2 linked regions of the Drosophila melanogaster genome follow. The protein of the gene in region 2 purifies or fractionates together with the protein of the main gene of each other region. This does not show direct contact. Each region holds a gene or a part of one and is shown on either strand. Other genes may lie near its edges.

Evidence for each region. Proteins that work in one complex are often made in the same cells at the same time.
Region 1: the proteins of CG4962 (region 2) and mol purify together in Drosophila melanogaster (affinity purification with mass spectrometry, with the first as the bait; one large-scale study listed by BioGRID). This does not show direct contact.

The regions. Positions count from the first base shown.
Region 1 is NT_033779.5:14,994,163-14,999,378, reverse strand, and holds the start of mol (moladietz), read left to right. Parts: upstream 1-1,819; 5' UTR 1,820-1,863; exon of another isoform or gene 1,864-2,665; intron 2,666-5,216.
Region 2 is NT_037436.4:16,293,806-16,297,362, reverse strand, and holds CG4962 (uncharacterized protein), read left to right. Parts: upstream 1-1,815; 5' UTR 1,816-1,879; coding exon 1,880-1,891; intron 1,892-1,954; coding exon 1,955-2,314; 3' UTR 2,315-2,652; downstream 2,653-3,557.

The DNA of each region.
Region 1 (5,216 bases), on a different chromosome or scaffold from region 2:
ATGTTGGCCATTCCCGTGCGGCCTGCAGTCGTTGACCGCTTTGAACTGACCTTGCCGCGCGAATTTTCGTTAATTTCAACTTTGTGGTCACCGCTTTGCTGCACTGGTCCGGGATGCTGTTGTTTATGTTTTTCAGACTTTTCTGGTTTTTATCGCCCATCAAGGTGATAGGTTTGCATATAAATGACGCTAGAACAAAAGACTTTGGCGACGAACTCGTGGTGACTAAACATGTGTACGAATTCACTGTGAGAGCAGTCAAAAGAATTGGTTTGCCCCAAGATATTTATTTTAATGGGAATGAATCATTGGACTGCGTAGCGGAAGTTTATTCGTAGCTAGGGAATCGATTATGATGAAGTCCGTTTGCCAATAAGCAAAAAAAAAAAACTAAACACCAGTTTTAAAAACCTTTTTCGAAGCATTTTTAACATAAAGTAAATATTTCAGTAGTTTAGATACTTCCTTTATAAATTGCATGCTGTAAAAATAGTTATACGACTTTAGAAGTTTTTCAGCCAGCTTTAAGCACCACATTTTTTTCCAAACACAGAATAATACTTTTTTAAATCCAAAGACTAAGTACATCGGCTAAACTCTAGAGAGCCTTACGTATAATGAATTACTGATTTTACAGCAATATTTACATTTTTGTTTATGTATGTTTTTATGGCTAATTTTGCACATCATAAAAGATTCACTACTAAGGCAAAGACAACAAGATCTAGCATACTGCGGCTGAAAAGTGGCTTTGGCGTCGACCAGCCAAATTTGCAACTGTCGAGATTCACAAGTCGGATGGATTGACTGGACATAAACAGAGATCACGGAGGCTAACTTGGTGATTTGGCTTGGCGTTGGTGCGTGGCACGGTAGTCGCTAGTAAAAATTCAATTAGCAAATTAAATATTAATTACCAGACGGGTCTCTATGCTAATTGAATTAGCAATAGTAGCAGCTGGCAAATAACTAAATAAAGGAAAAAGTATTGGGGGTTTTTAAGTTGGAATGCTGCGAAGATGGAGTTTTTGAGGATTCGTTTTAATATTATCCAATATTTGGCACCTATTTTTTCTGACATAATTGTTTAAATTAAAGAATGTTGTATGAAAAGTGGAAATTGCAATTTAAAATTTGAAATTTTGATATTATAACGATTGCATTTTTGATTATACAATGCAATTACGTTTCATTAAGTTTTATTTTGGTTTAATAATAAATGTCTCATTTTAACATACTACCTTATAAATAAATCTTTTGTTTTTATGTCCAGTAATGCATTATACATTAATATTTTAAGTGGGCCTTAATTTATATCAACCAAATTAAAATGTCAGATGATAAAATTACGTTTGAGAGTTTTATTTTGTTTCCTTTTTTGTAACAATGCAAGTTCTAATATTTTCGGAGCACAGCTGTTTATACTAATATTATTTCTCCTCGTGACAGGTGCCAATGCTATTCTCGCCCGGCTGATTAAAGTATATAATTTGCCGCTCGGCTGTGAATTTAGTGTGAGGCCAGGCCCAAGATGAACCAGTTTGCGGTTGGAAAGTGTGGCAGCCTAGAGTCGGACAAGGTCCCTGATCAGGAATAGCCCTGGCGATATAGCCCAAGTTCCCTGTCGGATTTTTTGATATTTTTTATTTTAATAATTTTTTTTTTGATTTTCTGACTTTCCGACATGACTGCTTCATAAATTCACACTCACTTAAGCCTGCAATTAGCGGTCGAGCAAAAAGCTCCCATCGCTTTGGAGCTTTGGCGCTCTGTTGCTCTCTTTTGGGAAGGTTTTGTCTTTTGCTCACCGCTCTCGGCGTTCAGTTGATCGACGGCAAGCTCTCGAAACGGACGCAGATTTTTGTAAGTCGCCGCCGCGCCTGCGCATTTTAAATCAGTTGCAACAAAAAAACAACGAGAGGCAGCGAAGACGAAATCGAATTGTGTTTTTATTTGTTTGCTTTTGTTTTGTCTGTGTGTTATGCCATGCACAAAACCACCGTGTTCGTAAAAGTGGAGAAAAATCAAAAATCGAAAATTCAAGCCGAAATAAGTTTGCCAAAACAAAAAGAAACCGCAAAAGCCGCGTTATAATAACGCAAATAACGGTATTAAGTTTGAAGCTCATCTAGTTATTTATGCTTTGCTCCTCGTGGTTGTCTGCAAAAATAAAACAAAAAAGCTTAAAACAAACAACAGTGTCGAAAAACCTTAACAATTTGCGCGCACATAAAATATAATTAAAGCCAGCAAATTTTTGCCTTAAACATAAAAAAGTTAATCAACTTGGTTGCAATTAAATGTTGCAATTTATTTTTTTGCAACTAAAGTGCGAAATATTCAGTGCAATACAATAACAAAAATAAATAAGTTTCTCTGAAGCAATACAAATAAAAGTTTCTCTGTAGAAATATAAATAAAAAAATACCAAAATCCATATTATCAAAAATTCAATAAGATATGTAAATAAATAGTTTGGTATACTCAAGCAAAAATAGAATGCTGAACAATGGATAATAAATTATTTATTTTTTTGGGTAACAAACTGATTGCCGAGACTTAAAAGACACCGAGAACTAAAAATAAAATATGATAGATCAAACAAAAAAATTCCCAAACATCTAAAGAGGGAGTCCGCCATTCCTCAAACGTATGTGTGATGGGTGTATGTGTGGGTGGGAGCGGGAAAATTGTGTTGGTAATTTCTAATGCACATTTTCCCTTTAGTATTACCCAACACAATGTTTTATTACCCTTACAGGAGTAACAGGAGTAACTAAACCTTTGATATTTCGATATTTATTAAAACATGAAAAAGAAAATTGATTATAACAACTTCCAGCAATTTTAAACCTTTTTTTTGTATTTTCCGCGAAAGCGTACATAAAGAGCGTATTTTTTTTAATACCCCTTCCTTTTACTGTATTTTCCTGCCTGCCCTTTTAGTTGTCGTTGAATTTGTATGACGTGTGTGCATCAGGTTGATTTTTGTGATGCGTTTTGCCTATGTAATTTCCATGTCAGGCGTTGGGATTACTTCATCTCCCGTTTCATTTCCTATATGGCCAGATGATTCAAACCAAACTGACCAGCGCAAAAATGAAAACAAAAACTACTGCTACAAAAAAACTAAAAAAAAAAGTTGCACGAAAAAGCCGGTTGAAGGCAACTCTTACATATTTACACGCACCAGCGCTCATTGAACACACGCCGCCAGCAGCAACAACAAAGCTAGCACGGGAAAAAATTGTTTTAAACAGTTACTAATATTTTTATTAATATATTAGTAAGGATTATATTGATAAATAACAGTACTACAAAAAGTAATATCAAGATATTCATAATATTCATATATGACATAAATCATACAATTCCGAGTAATTATTTTCTCTCACTGCATTACAGCAACAGCAACAAAAGCAATATCAACAGGGCGACACAGAAACCTGTTGTTGTAGCTCTTGGTGCCTCTCTTGCTGTCTCTGTCTCGTCAAAAGACATTTGCAGAGTTTCCAGCTGCGTGTTGATTATGTCAATTTCATGTTTACTTCATTTCCTCAATCCACCGGCAAAGGTGTTAGAGAGAGGGGTATAGTGGGCGGAAAGGGGTGCGCCAGCAATTTCACTTTCGTTGGACTTGAAAATAAAAGCTGCAGTCTCTGTGGCAGTGTGAGCGAGTGCGAGAGAGAGAGAGAGAGAGAGATTATTGGAGCAAGATGGAAGGAGGTTGGAGCTTGGGAAAGAGAGCAAGTGAGAGTGAGAGTGCGCACAGCAAGTGTGCTGCATACGGTACTTGGATGCTGGTGCTGCTGATGCCTCACTTGCTTTGTGGGGCGTTGCTGCACCGTGGGTTATTGCTATTTAATGTTCTTGAGCATAAAATTGTGGATCGTGACTTTGGGCTCAGCAAATAATTCGTTTCACTAATCCGTATTGTTTCATATATAATATATTTTAAAAACCAGGTGACTAGTCACAATAACTAACTAACTGACTAGTTACAATAAAAGTTTTACCCAATTTTTTCAGATATTATGATGAAATCTTAAAAGAAGTGATACCAATTAGAATGGCTAAGCTCTGAGATATTTGAAGATTATTATTATTATTTTTGTTTATGAATTGTTATACTCTCAGTTTTCATATTTGCTTGAAAAGTTAGTTTGTTGATGTTTTAAGAACAATTATATGAATTTTGCAATGTTCATACGTCAATATAAGGATTATTATGTTACCATCCTTTTAATAACTGTACCACTGTGCGCCGGCGTCTTTTGTGTGCTACTCGTCGCATATTTTCCGTTTCGTTTTGTAACTGTAATGTCTGTTTTTCCCATTGTCCGATTGTTGCTGGTTGTCGCTTTTGTTTTGCGCTTATAACGTAATAACGTAATGTGCTCGAAGATTTCCACATGCGATGCGTCGCACCTTACGTTTTGGTGCCAAGTCCATCGCCGACGTCGACGTTCATTGTTTTTGCAGGCAATTGAGCCAATAAACTGACGCGAATCGTAGCGACTTACAAATTCCTGTCCGAAAAATATGCGAAGGTCAACCAGAGGGGCAGCACCAACAACCACAACGATATCGAATCCATAACAAAATAGTTGAGAACTCCCGCAAGTGGAGTTTCATACGAGTATGTTTGGTATTCGCACCTTCAAACATGATTTCACGGACTGTCAGCTTGGCAAAAATTCTAATTATAAATGAAACAATTTATTACCGGGTTTTTAAAATAAAATGCAATTTATGTGCAAAGTCTGGCGGCGGCGGCGGACTTGACTAGTTAAACCGGTTGACTGCCAGCAGCAGCAGCAGCAATGAAAAAAAATGGAAAAAGAACCATTGACTCAATGGGGGTGCAGTCAGCAACAGCAAATTGCAACTGCAAGGAAAACATTTTTCTTAAATATACGGAATTAATTAATAGAAGTTAAACAAAGGATAATTTCTTTAATAAATTCTAAACATTTATTTATTACGGCAGTGGTGAATTCGACAAAAAAAATTATAATTTAACCAAATGTATTTATTTGAAATCTATAAATTACATCTATATAATAAAACAAAAGCTTCGTTATATAACTCAGCAATAAATCTACTAAGTGCAATGTATAAAAAATCCTAATGAACATGTAGTTCAAAAATAACTCTAATAAATTTATCTCGAATAAATCAAACCGTTTAAAATCAAATAATTGAATACATGTTCA
Region 2 (3,557 bases):
TTAACCAGAATGGGGCGGACAAATTTCAGGTCCGACTATTTCCCCAGAAAAATCGCATAAATCACGAAAGGAAAAAATATTGAGTTGAGCCACGAGTTGAGTTGGAAAATTGACGGCTTTTAATTTCGACTTTTGAATGATTTGTTGGCAATCAAAGTATTTTGGGCGTCGCTTGGGAAATGCGAATCTGAATCAAAATCGAATGTATGCATTGGATGGACGTTGCTCAATGGCTAGCAGACAAACAGAATGCAATTGGTAGGCCATTAAAATGCAATTACAGGCCACCAGAGTTTGGTGGTCAGCTGCAATCGGAACCAGCACGAATAAAACCAAAAATCCAAAACAACCGAGTGGGTGGCATATTTGGTTTTGTAGCTGCGGATCGATAGATAGCCACGCAATTTGGCATCCTGTTTGGTGTCAATCAAGCCGCCTTCGATTGAGATTTATGCGACAATTTGGTTAGCATTTGCATAACGCCACGGGTCGAAATCACGAGGTGTTGGCTTTGGTGAAGGGTTCGGCTTAGTTTTAGATTCGACTAGCACTAAGCCCCGTTGATATGCAGATTGTCCATTTGGGGTCCAATCAGCAACGATGGCCAGGGTCGCTGAGTCGAAAGAATTGTCGCCATCGTAATTGTTTATTAATTTATGACTCATAAACTTTAAGTCGGTCTTTGTTCGCCCTGAGAGAATTTCGATTTTTATACAACTCTTTGATTCAATACACCGATATTCAAGGCTCAAAACAAGCATTTTGCAATTCTTTTCGAGCCTCGTGTTCTGACTGATCCCGTGATATGATTTCAAAGCTGTTTCAGAATTAAGCATGGCTATTAGGAAATCTGGCAGGCCATTCGAAATGCGGCAAATATGATTTACCTATGTTTCCAATTGACTACGCTCCTTCCACCCAAGTTACGCATACGCCATGTGCGCGATAACAAATCAGTTAAATATTAATGCATGCAAAATATAGGCAAACCAGCTGCCGTCCAGCAGCCACCAAAATGACCAACTGCACCAATCTCCACTCTGTGTTTGTCAGTTATTAAAGTGAGTAATTTTTCATGGACCACTTGAGTTTATTTGCTGCGTGGAGAGGCAGCTCCGATTGATCATTTGCATCTGGACAACAACATTTTCCACACCTACGGATCTCTATATCTCTAATGAGCTGTCAGTCAGTCAGTCAGCTGATTGATAATAAAGTGCGTGTTTTCGGTTTTAGAAAGGATTTAGGCAGATATGCTTAATAGGCTTGCAGGCTTATATTTAAATAATTTGAACACGTGAATTCAACGGTTTTGAATAAAACACAATATTCATAGATAAATTTAAGTGCTCTTTCAAAGGAAATGTTACTTAATGGCCAATTTAGATCACTGGAATAATTGCAAAATTACTAATAGGCAAAACCAGATTTAGCCGTAGAATTTTCTCAGCTGGAAACCCCCAGAAGACAATTGTTCATTTCCACGACGAAATGAATGGAAATATAAAAGTTTCCGTTAGAGCAAAAGTCGCCGACAATAGCTGACGAAAAAAATACAAATTGAATTAAGTGCTCGTGGTGGTTCTCCATGAAAATCTTGGGGATTCGGTGGCTAAAATTGGCGGTGGCTCAGTGGCTCAAGCCAAAGCCGCCGCGTGACTGATCTCTTTCGCGATCTGCTGGTCGGCAAATGCACAAAGCTTCGGCTCTCGGCCGTCGAAAGGGGCGTGTTGGCTCTCCCTCTCCGCCGCTCTTTGGGCCAAGATTTGTCAGAATATTTCTCATGTTGCGGGTATAAATAACAGGGCTACTTGAGACGTCTAAGCATAACACATTCAGCTCTTCGGTCAAGAAGTCCAAACAACACAAAACCAGCAAAATGTTCAAACTGGTAAGATCAGGATTAAAGGATTACCGCTCGTATGAAGTTAACATAGAAGTTTCTTTTCCGCAGATTGCCCTCATCTCTGCCCTGTGCGCCGTGGCCAATGCCGGAGTAATCTCGCCCTACAGCCATGGATATGGACTGGGATACGGCGCCGCCTTGGCTCCGGCTTATGCCGCTCCGGCTGTGATCTCGCACGCCCCGATCATCAAGAGCTACGCCGCTCCCATTGTCGCCCACCCGGTGGCCACCTCCTATGCCAACACCTACAAGGTGGCCACCAAGGCCATTCCAGTGGTCCATGCCGCTCCTCTGGTCCATGCCGTGCCTGCTCTGCACTCCACCTCCACCTACCATGGATCCTATGGCGGCTACGGTAGCTACGGTCTGGGATACGCCGGCTACGGACACGGAGCCTACCTGCACTAAGGATCTGGATGTCGGAAAGGATACCAGCCCCCCGTTGACGACCCCGATTGAAGTGAGAACATTAAGCGGATAATTCGCATTTTGCTGCCGTCAAAGTGTTGAATTTGCATTTCGTAGTCAGAAGCGGAAATACAAATTGTGTACAAAATCCCTCAAAAACCCAGACACCCACTTGGAGACAGAGACAACTAGAGAACTAAGGACAACTAACGGGAGGCGGCGAGAGCGAGAGAGATTGATGAAGGATCAAGTTTCGTTGATTTTGTTATTATGGTGCAACTCCATGCATTGTGGCTTCATAACATTTTGTAAATAAACGATAAATGACTCTTTAAACGAATATGATGGCTTATTTCATTTACTGGTTGCTTATATATGTTAGTTTAAAAATATTCACTTGAAATTATGACGGATGGATATTTAAGATCCATATCCAAATATGCCTTACTACACACAATTCAATGAAATCTTTACGATACCTAACGTTTTGGAAGCAATATGAATTTTCAGAGTAATGTGGAAATATTTTAATTTGCCGTTTTAACACACACACATTTCGCAATGTAAGCCACTTAACTCAAAACTAATTGTTAAGGGGACAAATGTCTATTTATGAAGTGTGGAATTATTTTCAATTTAGTTTAGTTGAGCGTGAAGTGATCAGTTTTATTCGCATTTATAAGGATTCCAGATAGTATTGCTAGTTCGTAGATGCGAGCATTTCACAAAAAACTGCTTGTTCAATGATTTTCAACTGCGAACTTACCCCAACCATCCGATCGCCATTCAGCATTCAATTGCACTTCAAATTAATTTTACTTGAGCAACTTGCTCGATTCATATCGACTCCCGTCGGGTGTTTTGAAACTTGCAAGGAAAAAACCAAATACCAAAAAAAATTGTTTTATTGCAACGCCTTGCCCGGCCCACCTGCTCACTATACCCCCCCCCCCTCCTCTAACAATTATCATTGCGGGGAAACGAAAGACTCAAGCGACAAACGCGTGCGCCTGTCAACAGGTTGACCAGTGAAAAGTGCGTTGAAATATCTTTTTATTAATGGCCGGCCAACTGTCGCAGCTAAATGCTTTTCGCCCAGTTTCGCAAATGAAAAATGGGAGCACATCAACAGCTGCTGAAAAGTGAATTGAGTCACTTAATTACCTTTTTAACGCCGGCCAGCTGATCCTGGACCGAAAATACCAACTATAATTCATGCGAAAATTGAAAAGTCGTGTATTGC